Linked DNA regions of Tamandua tetradactyla. The protein of the gene in region 2 interacts with the protein of the main gene of each other region in a biochemical or structural test. Links are inferred from orthologs where the notes say so. Each region holds a gene or a part of one and is shown on either strand. Other genes may lie near its edges.

The links. The genes of interacting proteins can lie anywhere in the genome.
Region 1: the proteins of DLAT (region 2) and PDK2 form a complex in vitro, tested with the Homo sapiens proteins (2 studies listed by BioGRID). The link is inferred for Tamandua tetradactyla from reciprocal best matches to the Homo sapiens genes DLAT and PDK2.

The regions. Positions count from the first base shown.
Region 1 is NC_135332.1:31,238,499-31,246,493, reverse strand, and holds the start of PDK2 (pyruvate dehydrogenase kinase, isozyme 2), read right to left. Parts: upstream 3,051-7,995; 5' UTR 2,940-3,050; coding exon 2,822-2,939; intron 2,140-2,821; exon of another isoform or gene 1,948-2,139; coding exon of another isoform or gene 1,902-1,947; intron 1,670-1,901; exon of another isoform or gene 1,484-1,669; intron 1,234-1,483; coding exon 1,092-1,233; intron 1-1,091. UniProt on the Homo sapiens protein: Kinase that plays a key role in the regulation of glucose and fatty acid metabolism and homeostasis via phosphorylation of the pyruvate dehydrogenase subunits PDHA1 and PDHA2.
Region 2 is NC_135334.1:29,233,101-29,240,578, forward strand, and holds the start of DLAT (dihydrolipoyllysine-residue acetyltransferase component of pyruvate dehydrogenase complex, mitochondrial), read right to left. Parts: upstream 3,097-7,478; 5' UTR 3,025-3,096; coding exon 2,746-3,024; intron 2,327-2,745; coding exon 2,225-2,326; intron 1,908-2,224; coding exon 1,783-1,907; intron 1,624-1,782; coding exon 1,455-1,623; intron 1-1,454.

The sequences.
Region 1 (7,995 bases), on a different chromosome or scaffold from region 2:
TGAAGTGATGCAAAATCTAAAAACAATCACGATGATAAATACATAACTATGCGATGATACTGTGAGCTACCAATTGTATACTTTGGATGGTCTGTATGGCATGCGAAGATATCACAATAAAAGTATTTTTAAAATATTAAAATATTAACTTAATGTTAAATTAAGAACTAAGATATTGTTGTTGTAAAAAACAACATCTTAGTTCTTAATTTAAATAAAACTAAGCCTGCAGCAGCTCACTGCTCCTCCCATTACGTATGCCGTACTTAGTTCACCCTGCCTTGGCAAGTTCTATTTTCCCCTGTGAGCTCACGGATTCCCTGAGGGCAGCTGCTGCCGTTTTCTTAGACCCAGCACACCGCAGGGCTCAGCTCAGGTCCCATGCTTGAATCCATGAAAGAAGTCACAGCATGCCATACAGCGTCCAGAAGACCTAGCAGAAGTTTTTACTAGGGTGTCACTAAAGGCCAAGGATTACAGTTATAGAGCGTTTAAACCCTTGTTCATTCTTCACGTGACCAGCCACTGGCTGAAGTTACTAGTTACTTAACCTTGCACAGAGTTCTGGAGTGAACTTGACTGAGGGCTTTCCCGTTACTGCTGCTACATGCAATAAACGTTTGGCCTTTGCCCCTTCAAAGCTACTTGGGGTAGGTTTCATGCCACCCCCCTGAACGTTTTCCACATTCAAAACAGTCTGATCTGTAGCTTAAATTGTAGAATTTGTTCATCTGGTAGAGATTTGCTTCTTCTTGTTTCTTTTTCACATAAAGCTGCCCCAGATAAATATTACCCAACAGGGTTAACACCAGCATGGGCTGGAGTTCCAGGACCAGGGCCTAATATGGGGCTTGGCTGTGAACACTGATTTCCCAGGTAGATCGTGGGCTTCTAGAGGAAGGAGGAGAGTATGGGTCGGGCTGGCTGCAGACTCTGGAGGCCGGGAACATGATCTCAGCCCCCCGCTTTGGCCTATGATTCCTATGTGGCCTCAGGCAAGCCTTCAGCCTTTCTGAGCCCCTGTGCCTCCCCTCTGTCCCCAGCTTGGAGACTCCATCCCTGAGCCCGGGACGCGTGGGCAGGGGTCTCACCAGCTCTGCACCAGCTGCACCGAGGGTGTGCTCAGCACCCGGTCGGGAAGCAGATTGATCTCCTTCATGATGTTGGCCAGGCGCACGGGCAGCTCCTGCCTGAGGAAGGTAAAGGACGTCTTCTCACAGGCATTGCTGGACCCTAGAGGTGGGACACAGGGGTGAGTCCACAGGACTACAAACCATCTATGATGGCTTGGGGTCAGCTCAGCTAAACCCTTCATTTACTGAGGGTTCAGAGGTCAAGTGACCTGCCTAAGGGCAGACCACAAGGCAGCTCACCTCGCTTCCTTTAGTGCCCAAACATCTGCACCACCCTGCCTACCATTCAGCTCCCTGCATGAATGCACACCCCTGAGGCAAGCAGAGCCTGAAGGTGGGAGCCCAAATACCTGAGTCCTCAGTCTGGCTTGAGGGGTAGAAGATCCCCTGAATAAGAACATGGCCTGGAGTCAAGAGACCTGGTTGCTCGCCCAGGCTCCACTTCCAACTCTGTCACCCAGGGCATAGCACCCTCCTTCTTGAAGGTTGCAGTTCTCCCCATGGTACTACTTGTGAGCCCAGCTCTCCTGGGAGCCCCTCCCAACTGTGACATTTCAGTGACTGGGGTCCAGTCTGGGCTGGGCAGCTGTTGAGGGTGAGGAACGGCCCACGTGGGGGGACGCTCAAGACTGAAACAGGACAGAGGGGCAGGTAGCGCAGTCCTGGGGAACAGGTTTCCTGTGTCCTTGCTGCCACCTCCCCACCCCTTCCCATCAGCGAGGTAGCTGTAACCTGAGCCAGGCACTATCTTCTAAACTGTTTACCGACCTGGGCAGCCCCTCCCAATCGCCAGCTGGCACCACGGAAATGCCATGTGGACAGACAGAGCCCACACAATGCCTGCTTCAGCCGCCGCGTTGGCACAGTCTTGCTCCTGCCCCAGAGCTACCCCCTGGATGCCAGCGGTGGGCAATCCTGGCTCAGGAATCCAGGGGCAGCCAAGGATGGGTACAAGCAGCCTGACTGCACCTCATGGTGCCTCGGGCCCCTGTCCAGAGGGGGACAGACTGCCAGGCCCAGGCAGATTTGATCTTCAAGTGTCCTTGCCTGCTGGGGTAGCCAGGGAAGCAGCTCCTTCAGTGAATGGAGGTACACTGGTCAGGGCCCTCCCCCTGGGTTGGCATCATCTTCTGAGAGGGGCCCCATCCCTAACTGCCATTGCTTTCTCTCACTCTCTGCCCAGGAGTCTCTGATCCTACCATATGCAGGCTCCTTCCAGATGCCTGCACCTCTCCAACCGGCCCTAGTACTCCCACCAACACCCTCCACCCCACCCCCATTAACCTTTCTGTGCCTGGGTATCACTCTGCTCCCTTTCTGCCCAAATAGCCCCCCCCACTACCCCTCATTTCCCCAGGCCGCCCATAAAGCCCAGGAAGGAAACTTGGACCCCTCTTTCTCAGTGCTCCCATTCAGACACTTCCCATTAACAGTTCAGTCGCGTTTCTCTTCAGTTAGGGTTCCCTTAACCCTCTCAGGCCCAGGGCTTTGCTTTTCTCCGTTAACCCTTTCCTGCCTGTATTCTTCCTAGCAAACCTTCCCTGTCACCCAGGGCCTATCTTCTTCCCCTACTCCGTCATTGGCAGGACACCTTCATTTACCCGGACCACGCCCGGCTGCCCCTCCTCCCAGCCCCCCGCGGGTCCCCGCTGGCCCCCGCGGTCAGCCGCTTCACGCCCGCTCCGTACCGAAGTCCAGAAACTGCTTCATGGACAACGGGGACGGGGAGAACTTGCTAAAGTGCTCGATGTACTTGGGCGCCCCTGCCAGGGACGCATTCTTCAGCAGCGCTCGAACCCAGCGCATGGCGGCGACGGCGGCCGCACCTCGGGCTCGGGCTCCGGTCCCCGCGCGGGCGGTACTCACGCTCGGCTTGGCCCAGCCCGGCCCAGCCCGGTCCCGCGACGCGGTTCCGCCACCGCCTCCCCCAACCCGACCCTGGCGGGGGCCTCCCAGCCCCGGCCAATCGGCTCGTCGCGGCGCCCAGGCGTCGCCAATGGGCCGCGCACAAACAAGTCCGGGAGAACCAATAGCCTTTTGCTCCGGCACGTGGCTTCGCCCTGGGCCCGCCTCCTTAACCCCGTCTTGGCCCCCCGCGAGCCGTTGTTTTCCCGAGGCGGCGCCGACCTCCCTTGGGCAGCCTTTTCTCTCTTCGCTCGCCTCCCGGGGCGTGGCCCGAGTTAACCCCGGCCTCCCCAGAGGTCCGTGAGTTCCCTCCCCTCCTCTTCCCCGGCCCTCTGCCCACATCTCCCTCACTTGCTGGCTCCTTCACTGGTGTGGTCCAGGTAGCTTTCCATGAATGCCCCCAAGGTACCCGTTTCACCTGTCTCGCGCCCTTCCTGCTCTCCCTGAGTGTCTCGTGGGCCTCCAGTCCGGATCCCGACTCTCCCCAACCCTCCAGCAACCAGTCTCCTCGGACGGTTTCAGTGACAGTGAGCCAGGCTGTGACTATTTGCAAAATTCGGAATCGGGATTCAAGCCTGTATTAATCCCTCAAGTATTGGTGCAGCCCCCCACTTCTACAAAGATCCAAGTGACTCGGGAAAGGACGGCATTTTACGTTTCCAGGTGAAACTCAACACCCAGAGTCAAAGCCCTAAAAGACTAGCGGCGGCGGCGACACAAACATCAGTGCTTGGAGCGCAGTTTCCCAGACCCTCTCATCTTCATTGTTCTCTCGCTCATTTGACTAAACGTGAATCCTTGGATATCTAGCACGACCAACTGAGAAAGCAACATCGGCTTCCCAGGAGGGAGGTCCCGGGAGGCGACTTGCCCGGAGTCAGGGCGGGAGCGGGAGAGGGGGCCGGGATGGGGTCGGTGCTGGGTGGTGCCCTCTCCCGGCCCTCCCCCCTTTCCCAGCAGCCCGCCGGTCTCGTAGGAACGTAGCGCGCCCTCTTGTGGTCAAACATGGTATGTCCTGTCCCCGGCGGAGAGGCCGACTCAAACCTTTCTTGCCAGCTGTCTTTGATGCTTCAGTGGTTGGCTCACACTTAGCAAGTGCCTAATGTGTGCCAGGCTTTGTGCTGGGAACTGGAAACACAAACAGGATGGAGACACGGTCTTTTCCCCCAGCACGTCATTGTTCACTTTGGGAGATAGCTGCCTAAGTAAATAAAAGAGTTACACAGTCCTATTAGAACCAACACTAATAGGACTCTCAGCTGAATGAAGAATAGTCTATGTGCCAGGCACTGTCTGCACGCATTATCTCATTTAATTCTCAAGGCAACTTATTGGACGATTATTGTCCACATTTGATAGATGAGGAAACAGGCGCAAGGGTCATTCTTAATGGCAACTCTGACCGTGTTACTTCCCTACTCCCAGCTTTTCAACTGCTCCACTCCTTATTGGAGTGTGATGGTTTGAAGCTGTATGTACCCCCATAAAAGTGTATTTTAAAGCTAAGCCATTCCAGTGGGTGTGAACCCATTGTAAGTAGGATTTTTTGGTGAGTTGGATCTTAAGATGTCACCCACCTCATTTAGAATGCGTCTTAGTCCTCTTATTGGAGTCCTTTATAAAAGAATGAAATTCATACAAAGAGAGAGAAAGCCACAAAAGCAAGAAGCTGAAAACAACAAAACTGGAAAGAGAAGGGAGAGGCCAGCAGAGGCCACCATGTGCCTTGCTGTGTGACAGAAGAATACAGGATCTCCAGCAGCCAGTCTTCAGGAAGAAGGTATCATCTTGATGATGCCTTGATTTGGACATGTCCAGGACCTCAGAACTGTGAGCTTGTAAGCTAATAAACTCCCATTACTAAAAGCCAACCCATCTTATGGTAACTGCTTTTGGCAGCCTAGCTAACTAGAACACAGAGCCTTTTCAGCTCTTACATGATCTGCTTTAGCTTAACTCCTCAGCCTCATCTCTCCACATTCCCCTGCTCAAATCCCAGCCATGCTTCATCATCTGTTGCCTTAAGTACGATTGCCAATGAAGCCTCTGGTCTCCAAGCTGTGGCACATGCTGTCTCTTCTGCTTGGATCCTTCTTTCTTTGCACCTTTAGCTACCCATTCTTCAGGTCTCAGCTACTTTGTCACTCCTTCCTCCAGGAAGCCTTCCCTGACCCTACCAGGCTGGGTTCTGGGATTCCTCTAAGCCCTCCTGAGAACTGCTGTCCTTAGCACTAATTTAGCTCTTATCACCATCACATTGGGTGGTGATTACTTGTTGATGCATCTATCTCCCCCACTAGACTTTAAGCTCCATGAGGGCAGGGGCTCAGCCTGTCTTATTCATTGCTCCATCTCCAGCCCCAAGCACAGTACCTGGCATGCAATAGGAAGGAAAGAGCAGAAAGAAAAGATGGGGTTGGCAGGAGTCATGCCCGGGATCAGGTGAGGACCACCACGCATCCATCAGGTTGGTGAGTGCCGTTTTCAAGTTGCCCAGAAAAGTACATGGGATACTACATGCAAAAAGCCTGGCCCCGTCCCTGCTACACAGTAAATAATCAACTGTTACTTTTATTTTCAAAATTAAAGGAAAAGGCCATGACCTCTGAGGCTGGGTGCAGGAGAGGAAAATAGATTTCCCATTATCCTCACCTTAGAGCCAGACTTCCATAATGTGGATTCTGTGCTGGGGGAAATGTTCCTTCTGCAGAGATTGCTGCAGTTGGTAATGGGAATGGTGTGTTGTGTTGTATCTGTCGAGTTAGGTCAGTGATGCTGAGGTAACAATAATCCCCAAACTCCCAGTAACTTAGAAAAACAAAAGTTTATTTCCCACTATATGATAATATGGGTTGGTGGAGGACTCTCAGGGACTCAGAATGACAGACGCTTTATCTCAGCACACACTTTCACAGCAGTACATGCAGGGAAAGGGAACTGGGAACTTCTCACACCTGCAATTAAATATTTCAGCTCAAAAGTGAGCCACTTCCTTCCTGCTCACAACTCATTGGCCAGAATTAGTCACATGCCCTCAGCCCAACAGGACAGCCCAGGAAGTGCACGCCTGCCAGGTGCCAAGAAAGGGGAGAATCAACTTGATTGCCCCTTTTAGTGATGCCCAAGCCAAGACCCTCTTCTGGAGCAGAGTTTGGAGGCGCTGCAGTTCCATGGCGCTCAAGAAGCTTGGCACTTTAGAGGATTGAATTCTTGTGGGCAGAGCAGCATCTCTGCTAACTGTATTTCTTTCATCAAAGTGTGGCTGCATCACCCATGAAAATGGCTACTTGTTCTCAGGACTGTGTGTTCTGCAAGCAGCCACTCTTAGGAGACTGAGGCTGGGACTGTGGAGCTGGCCGGAGGTATGTGTAGATCCTGCCTTTTTCTTAAGCAGAAAGTGACCGTAAAGAACGGGGTTGAGCTGGGCTCACCTATGCTTAATATGAACTGAGCTTTGACAACCCACTTGTGGTGTTATTCCCTACCGAATGAATAACCCAGATTCTGGGAAACAAACTGAGGCCTCAGATCATTGGGTTCTAAGAGCTTGGCATCTTTGGGTAGGGGCTGGGGTTTTCCTGAAGGAAGTGGATACCCCACTTCCAGTCATTCTAGGAAGGGGCAAATCCAAGCACAGAAAGTGAGGAGAGGGGAGGTGCACTGGGCCCAGGACGTTATTGTGAGGCAGGTCCTGTTGGAGGGGGTGGAGGGCAGACAGGTGTCACAGAGAAGCAGACTGGGAGATCCCCAGGCAGCAGCCGGCATCTGTGGAATCTGAGAGTAGCTGAACCTGGGCTCCACCTCTAGTCTTCCCTGCGTAGTAATTTCAAGTCTTAAGGGAAATTAACAGAAGGACCCATACCACAATTTAGGACAAAGAAGTGACAGGGAAAGCAGTGTTGCTCCACTCCCCCAGGCTGCATGGTGGATCCAACCTTGGCACAGAGGAGGAAGCAGCTCCAGGAGCCACAGGAAGCAGTAAAAGCAAAGCCAGGGTTAGATCCAAATGATGAACAACCTACAGGCTGGGGATATAACTGTAAGAGCTGGTGCAAGGCTAACCCCAGAGGGAAGGGAGCTGTGCAGAGGGGCCTAGTCCTGCTGCTCTGTGTGCGGTACCACAGGCCAGCAGATGCATGGGCTACATTAGCTTAGCATTGAAATACTCCTGGAAAAGCCTCCAAAAGACTAGGGCTCCAGAGGCTGTGCAATGGACACTATGACCTTTGGTCTTTTCAGCCTTGGGTCATGGGTTTACTTTCTGACCTACTCACCATGGTGCATAGGGGTAGAAGTGGGGAAACTAAGGTGGGAAAGAAGGGTCTTAACTGAATTCAGAATTCACTGGAAGAAAATTCTCTTCTCTCAACCCTTGTGCCCAGCTTTCCTCCGCTATCCAGCACTACCTGTTTCTATAGCAAAGTAGCTTTCTGCCTCTTTCCTATTCTGCAGAAGACAAGCTCTATCCCTGCTCCCCTCCCCAAGGCCAGCCCCACTGTCCTCCAGGAAACCCTTCTGGATTCCATCTAGCCTACTCAGGTCTTCTGCCCTCATTCCATGTTTGGGGTCTCAGTTTTGTGCCTATGATTATCCCCTAGACTGGTGCAGCCCTGAGAGCAGGAACTGGTGTCTCCTCCATAGACCTCCCCTTTCCCAGTCTCCAAGACCCCAGCACCTGGTTTTGCCCACCTAGGGGTTAACTAAGTAACACTACTATTTGCCAGCTATTCAAAATGAGCTGGGCTGGCAGGAAGGGAGGCTGTGGATGGAGGAAGGTGCAGCTTGTACAAACTGGGGGCTGTTTATTGGTTGCCATGAGAAGCCTACATACAAAGAAGGCACAAGGACAGGGGAGGGCGCTCCCCTGCTACAGTACCATGGAAGGGGGTAGGGGCTGGGAAATGGGTCTGCCAACAGGCAGGGGTCAGGAGAGGTTTTCTAGAACCCACCTCAACTT
Region 2 (7,478 bases):
CTGAGAGACTTCAAACAGTATAAGACATCATTCTGGTGGTTATTTTATGCATTATAATGATATCTTTTTTTAGTTTACAGTGTATTGGAGTGGCTAGAGGGGAAGTACCTGAAACTGTTGAACTGTGTTCTAGTAGCCTTGATTCTTGAAGAAGACTATATAACTATATAGCTTTTACCATATGACTGTGTGATTGTGAAAACCTTGTGACTGATGCTTTTTTTATGCAGGCATGGACAGATGAGTAAAAAAAATTAATAAATAAGGATAAAAATAAATAAATAATAGGGGGTGATAAAGAGTAAAAACTGGGTAGACTGAAATATTGTAGGTAATGAGAGGGAGGGGTTAGGAGTATGGGATGCATGAGTTCTTTTTTTTATTTTTATTTCTTTTTCTGGAGTGATGCAAATGTTCTGAAAATGATCATGGTGAAGAATATACAACTATGTGATGATATTATGAGCCACTAACTGTATAATATGGTCGGACTATACATGTGTGGCTATTTCTCAAAAATATTTTTTAAAAAATTATTGGAGCCAAAAATCTCTACATAATTAAGGCACAATCCTAACACTTCTACACAAAATTAAACATATTATGGAGAGAAATTAAATAAGTCCTATATAGTGAGACAGCTTGTTGAACAAGATGAAATAAATCTATGAACTGAATACCAGGCAAAACTTCATCATAACAATGGGTAATAATAGATATTATTCTGTTCCATGGAGTAGAAAATGATGCCCAGAGGAGAAAAAAATTTCTATACAGATATTTCTACAAATAAACTAAATGAAAAGTTTTCATCTTAATCCTTCAGAAAAGACAATTGGTGTTTATTCATTCTCAACATTTAACATACAAAAATACATGGAATAACTAATACCCAAGAAACTAATTTCATTCTTAAAAACTGATTTAGTTATGAGAATCGACAGTGATTACACCTGTCTTCAGCTTTGTTGTAATGCTATTATATACTATATATAGTCTACACTTATTTCTCTTTATTATTTTCTCATTTATTAATACTATTGGATTACTTCACCTACTCTTAGAAAACAGACATTACTCATCAAAGGAAAACCCAACTGTGGATCCTTTATTCAACAGACAGCACTTGATCCCTACTAAATAACCTATTTATATGGGGAGTAAATAGAAGTACAAATCATCTTCAAAATCCATAACAATGTTCTTGAATAAGAAGTGTTACACATCATCCACTCTACTACACTGAGACTTAGAAAGTTAAAGGCACTGTCCTAGCTCACAGAACTGAAAATAACAGGTACAAAGGCTGTGTGCTTCCATGCTTAAATCTCTACTCCCAAAACGACAACAACTAGCCATGTTGAATGTGGCTCTAGGAGGTGATAGCTATCTATCAGAAATAACGAATAAATAATAAAATTCTCTACAGAAAACACTCAGAAGCTGAGCCTCACCTGCATGTGAGTGGGATATGAGCTACCAGGAGCCTGAGCAGAAGGTACAGGAGTAGGAGGTGTAGGAGGCGAAGCAGCAGCAGCAGGGGTTGATGCTGGGGCTGCTTGGGGGGGAGGTGCTACAGAGGAATCCAATGTATAATTTTTAAAGGCGTCAATATCCTCAGGCCTAAAGAAAAGAAAGAATGCATAAATATGAAAGGTTATAAAGGAGATTCAGCTCCCATACAAGTAATCTTCAGAAGCTTTTAAGCCCTAATTTCTCAATACTGGGTTAAAATACTCCACCAAGCACTAAAGTTCCACAAATTATCAAGGTACCACTCACTTTTCAACTGTAATACAGATAATTGCTCCAACTGGAACATCTCTGGCACCTTCAGCAACAAGAATCTTTGCCATGTAACATTCTTCCAGGCTCTCAAACCCAACAGTGGCTTTATCTGTTTCAACCTTTTAACACAAAAAGCATTAGTTTAGATTCATGCAGCCAGTATGTTTATTAGCTCGTGTCCAGGATCATACAGTTCAACAGGGTAAATAAACCACAGATTTGAAAGAAGAATTATTGAAAGACATTGAGTCAAAAGTCAGTCTGGCTAGATGCTGACAAAATTAACTAATTTTCTCTAATGTCAAACCGTAAAAAAAAAAAAAAAATCTCAGTTTATTTAGCAAAGTGGATAATCACCCACCCAGAACGTTAATGCTCAGTCAGCATAGTTAAGCCAGCTCCTTCAAAGTCATCTCCATAATCTAAAACAACTTACCTCTGCAATTAGATCACCCTCATTGATTTTTTCCCCTTCTTTTTTTTCCCAGCGGGCTATGGTTCCTGCCTGCATTGTGGGGGAAAGAGAAGGCAATGGAACCTGGAGGAGAACAGAAGAAACAATAGCTTTAAAAAGGGGGTATTCACTTTCAGTCTGGTTCACTGTTTTATTCAATTCGATTTAATGTAATTAGTTTAATGCAAAGAGTTTATTTAGTTCCATTACACGCTGGGCACTAGGGATAAAAAACAATTCCTGCCAAAGTTCACGTTCTCAGTGATCACGTACCTCAGCAAATACTTCGCAAAAAGTCCCAGGCTTGGAGCTCTTTTTTCAATGGAATAAACTAGGAAAGGGAAGCTCAAGAGATACTGCAAAGCTCAAGAGTTGGGGAAAGGACGATGACAGATACTGGGAAAGGGTAGGGATTCGCTGAGGTCTCTGCGGGAGGATCCCAAGGCCAAGAAGTCTGTCTTGAAGGGCAACGGAATACCGCGATGGACCGGTTGGGGGCTCACCTTCTGATGCGGGGGAAGACTATAACTGCGACGGCCAGGCAACGCCAAAAGCTGCAGCAACAAGCGGTTCCGTGGTGTGGCCGAATAGCTGGGGCTCCAGCCGCAAAGCGCCCGGACCCCGCCATACTCTGTGATCGCACTGGTGCAACGGACCGGGACACAGCCAAACCGTGGGGTCGTGCACAGAGCTTCGGGTCCCTCTCGCAAGGCTGTGCACCGAGCCCCAAATCCTGCCCTCGGTGCCGCACGCTGTGCCCGGCGCGCACAGACGCTCCACATGGTGCCAGAGACCCCGACACCCCAAACCCAACGCCGTCTCCGGAGTGACCTCTCCAAGAGCAGCGCGGCGCTGCCGTCAACCGCGCCGCACAGCCGCACATTGTCGTAAAACAGGCTCCGGAGAGTCTGTGTGTGTGTCGTCGCGCCTCGTTTTGGGAGAATGGAGAAAACAATGACCCCAAATCCTGTAGAGGCTGCTACCTTAAAACCACGGGGGCGGAGAAGGGGCGTTCCAGCGGAGCCTTAGTAGGTGGTAGTTTGAGAGAAATAAGAGGTGGCGGGAGTTCGAGGACGATGGAGTCCTAGGAGAAGCATCCCAAAGGTTAGGTCGGGGCCTAGGCGATGTGAAAGGCAAGCCAAGGGAGCGGGACCTATAAAGGCAGAGAAAGTCCTCTGAGAACTGGGCTGAAGAGGGAGGGCGAGTTTTGAGGAAGAGCTAGAAGTGTGCCCGCGGACGGACGATTTTGGAGCGCTCCCGTAGAGAAACAATCACAGAGTGGAATCGAACCGTAAAATGATGCGCTCTCCTCCTGCTAATCCATCGGTGACTAGGTTTGGGGTCCTGCCCCGAGCCGGCAGTACTGTGTTGCAAAGACTTAATTTCAAAGCTTGTAGTCCGACCGGAAATTGGAATGAACAGGTTTTCTAACTTGATGGTGAGAAGAGCAGCCAAGTGGAAACTCCATTCCCACATTCTAGTGTAGTGTTGCGGGATTAAGTACATTCCCCGTACGGAGACCGAAAGCCTTTGTTAGGTTTAAAGTATTTTGTGCCAAAACTAAACTTTAATGAGCCGGTGAATGCAGGGACCTTGTCTGTATTGTTCTTCCATGTATCCCCAGACTTTAGTATAGTACCTGGTAAATAGTGGATGCTGAAGGCGCTTCTTTGGTATTGATGAAGAGGTATCTACTCATATTTTTTAGATATACTTCTATTGTGGGCATGTCCTATAATTAGAATACCTCGTCAGTTCTGAACTGAAGAGGACATTAGATTAGGAAGAAGCATTTGCTGTATTTGTATCATCATATTCCCAGTGTACCGATAGTCAGAGAACATCAGGAACACAAGAAGAAACAGGAAAAAAAACAACCAACATTTGGAAACATGTTCAGTAATTAAACATAGAAAAAAATTAAAACAGCCATGATGTTCTATTTCATACTTATTTTAAGTTGGAAATGCTAAAAATTCTAAAAATTTTTAGTGTTACTGAGATTACAGAAGAAGAGATGCATGCAATTGGGAGCAATGAATACTGGTTGTTGAGGGATGACAATTTTGTGGAAAGTATCAAAATCAGAAAAAAAATCATTCCCAAAGACTCTATTCTTATTTCCTTAAGGAATTCAAAATGTTTTTTAATGTTTTAATATCTTTATAAAAGATAAAGAATTAGAAAAGTGATTATCCTGAAATAAGGAGAAGTTTAAGCAGGCACCATAGCCTAGCAGAATAATATGCAAGCAATATAATTGAGAAACAAAATTTCCATGTTAAGTGCGAAGACAGTTGCAATAATGTTAAGAGTAGAGCAACTGTATTATTACAATTATGAGTAGAGCAACTGTATTATTACAATTATGTAAAAATTTACTAATAAATAACAATTGGGAAAAAACAATCAAAGAATAATTGTGATTAATGAAAAGGCTATACTGCAACTTCATAATTATTAAATTTTTTATTTTAAATTGGCTAAAGTATCTTACTCCAACTGCATCTGAATTTAATAACTGGATCTCTGTTGTAAAGTATAAGATGATTCTTAGTTCTACTGTTCATTTATTTAAACCTTGTTTTGCATTATTCGGAACACAGCAAGTTTGCATTTTGCATATGCTTTTGGCTTAGGTGTAGCTAAATTATGAGACAGCACAGCTGAATAATTAAGGGGTAGTAAATTTACTCCAGAGGTAGGCTAGGAATTCTTAGATTTGTCAAATCAATCCTGGGACAACAGGCCTGCACTCCCCTAAACAGTTTGGATAAAGGGAACAATTAAAGAAAAGGAAGACTACACCTCAAAAGAGTGAACTAGAGACACGCTGAATGGCAATATCACTGATACAAAGTGGGTAAATGGAAAGGGGAAATAGTTGGAAGCAAAAGAATCTGAGTTGTTTGTACATTTTTAATTTTAACATAATGGTGGGATAAACCAATTAAAATAACAATCAATGATTGGAAATATGTAATTGGAAGTCAAATGAAAACATTCAGGGCTAATGATTTAGATATACAAAACATGTGAAATGAAGCCTACTTAACTTTTGGGCAGACATGTTTCTGAGTCTTTTGTTAATGTTGCTTGCTTTTGCATAAGAAACTTTTGTCATATAGCTTATAGCCTCAGGTTCTTAATTGTTTGCACATTTATATATAATTTCCAAAGAAGTACTAAGTCAATGAATTCTAAAACAGATAACCTACTTTGCGCTTACATTAGAAATATCAATAGCAAAATATCTGTGGCAATTAAGTAATTCTTATCTCCACTCTTTCAAGTGGAGAGAAAACATGCTACCAGGGAGAGCACTTGAGGAAATTTACTTTCACTAAATGTAAATGGTTTTATTGATTAATCCTCAACTGATAAGCAAGTGGAGAGGATTAATGAAATTTTGTTTGCAAACTCCATTTTATTCTTAGTTTATTTGTTTTTTTAAATTAGTACACAAATCTCTGGTACATACAGGCAGCAAAAACTGGTTATCACCACCATTATCCAAAACCTCTGGTATAACACAGTCTTCATGAAAACATATTGTAAGACAAGGAAAATACACAGTAATAATCTCTTTGAAAGCAATGGTTGCAAACATCCATGTTTCTAAGAAAATATAAATTTACATATAAATGTATTTTAAGCAAGCTATATCTCTGACATAAATTCAGACAATAGAAGGAATGTGCAATCGTAATGCTCATTTTATGGAATAGAAAGAAAATAATTATAATTATGAACCTAAGTGTTTATGAACAAGTCCTCTTGGATAAAGCATAAAGATATTTTATCTAATTTACAACTGTCCTGGTCAAAAAGAGCCAAAATGTTAGAAAGTAAGTAGAATTACTATTACCAAGTGATTGAACCCAAATTCTTGAGTGTTCCAAACCTGCTAATTCAGGGTACTGAGCAAGAAGAGAGAACAGTCTTCAGTTTATAAATGAAGACTTTTTAAGGATTAAGCCCTCTACTAAACTTGTTTTTATGAGAGGATCATTTACTTTTTAATCTAAAGTGGCGTAGCAATTATTTTATGAACTCTATAAACATTCTAGCTCCATAATTTACTCAAGGAAAGATAACTTTAGCAGTAGCAGGATGGACTATTCCACACACACGCCAATAGGGAACAATACTATAATTAAGTCAAAAAGCCTCCTAGAATAAAGCCACACACAGTGCATTCAAATAGGCGACTCAATACAGAATGAATTAATAAGTGTTCCTCTTCAGAAGACTCCTCTCCCCTTAAAAACTTGAACGAGGGCCACCAACATATTTTTTTTTGCGGGGTGAAGATGCATGGTCCGGAAATCAAACTCGGGTCTCCTGCATGGAAGGTGAGCATTCTACCACTGAACCACCCATGTACCCACTACCAACACATTTTATACAAGTTACTAGAGCAAAATCATGCAGGAGGGATGCTTAATCACTACTCAGGCCACACCACCTAATGGGGAAAAATGATTTCATTCTGTCCTCTGAACTTAACTTTCATTTTCTATGGAGGCATTGAGGCCATGCAGCTCCTTTTCCACAGAACACACAAGGATTAGAAGACAAATAAGGTAGAGGACCTTGGAAATTTTCTCTGATTTAATTTTCTCTGAAAAATTCCATATAATAATAATAATAATAAGGCTTAGTTGAAAGAAACTGACAAAAAACAATTTAAGAGACAGACATTCAAGATAAATTGAATTGGAAATACAATAACAAAGCTTGACCTGATAACCCCTCATGCTGTCTTACAGTGAAACACTACAATTCATGCAACAAAGAAATTGGTGACATGAAGACATTTTCTCCAAACTTCCTGGGCTAAAAACTGAGACTAATACTGTTTTCTTCAGTTTGCTTTCATAATGAATTGCTCTTGCTTGTGACTGACTTTCCCAAATTTCCCCAATAATTTCTGAGGAGAAATTCTTCAATAGTGAGAAGGTCAGGTAAACTTACATAAAATATCTTTTGGGCTACTTTTGACTGCTGGAGGAGAAATCAAATGAATTACATGAAACTACCTATACAACTAAAGTTGGCAGGTAGATTTGCAATAGGAATTAGTTGTCATTAGTATCCTTGTAATAAAATAAAGCTTGTTCTGAAACCACAAGGGATGGTAAGAAGAGCCTGTATAAAAGTTACTGGGTTCTCTAGAAAATGGACACGTTACAGAGAATGTGAGAATATACAGAACTCACACTCGAGTTATAAA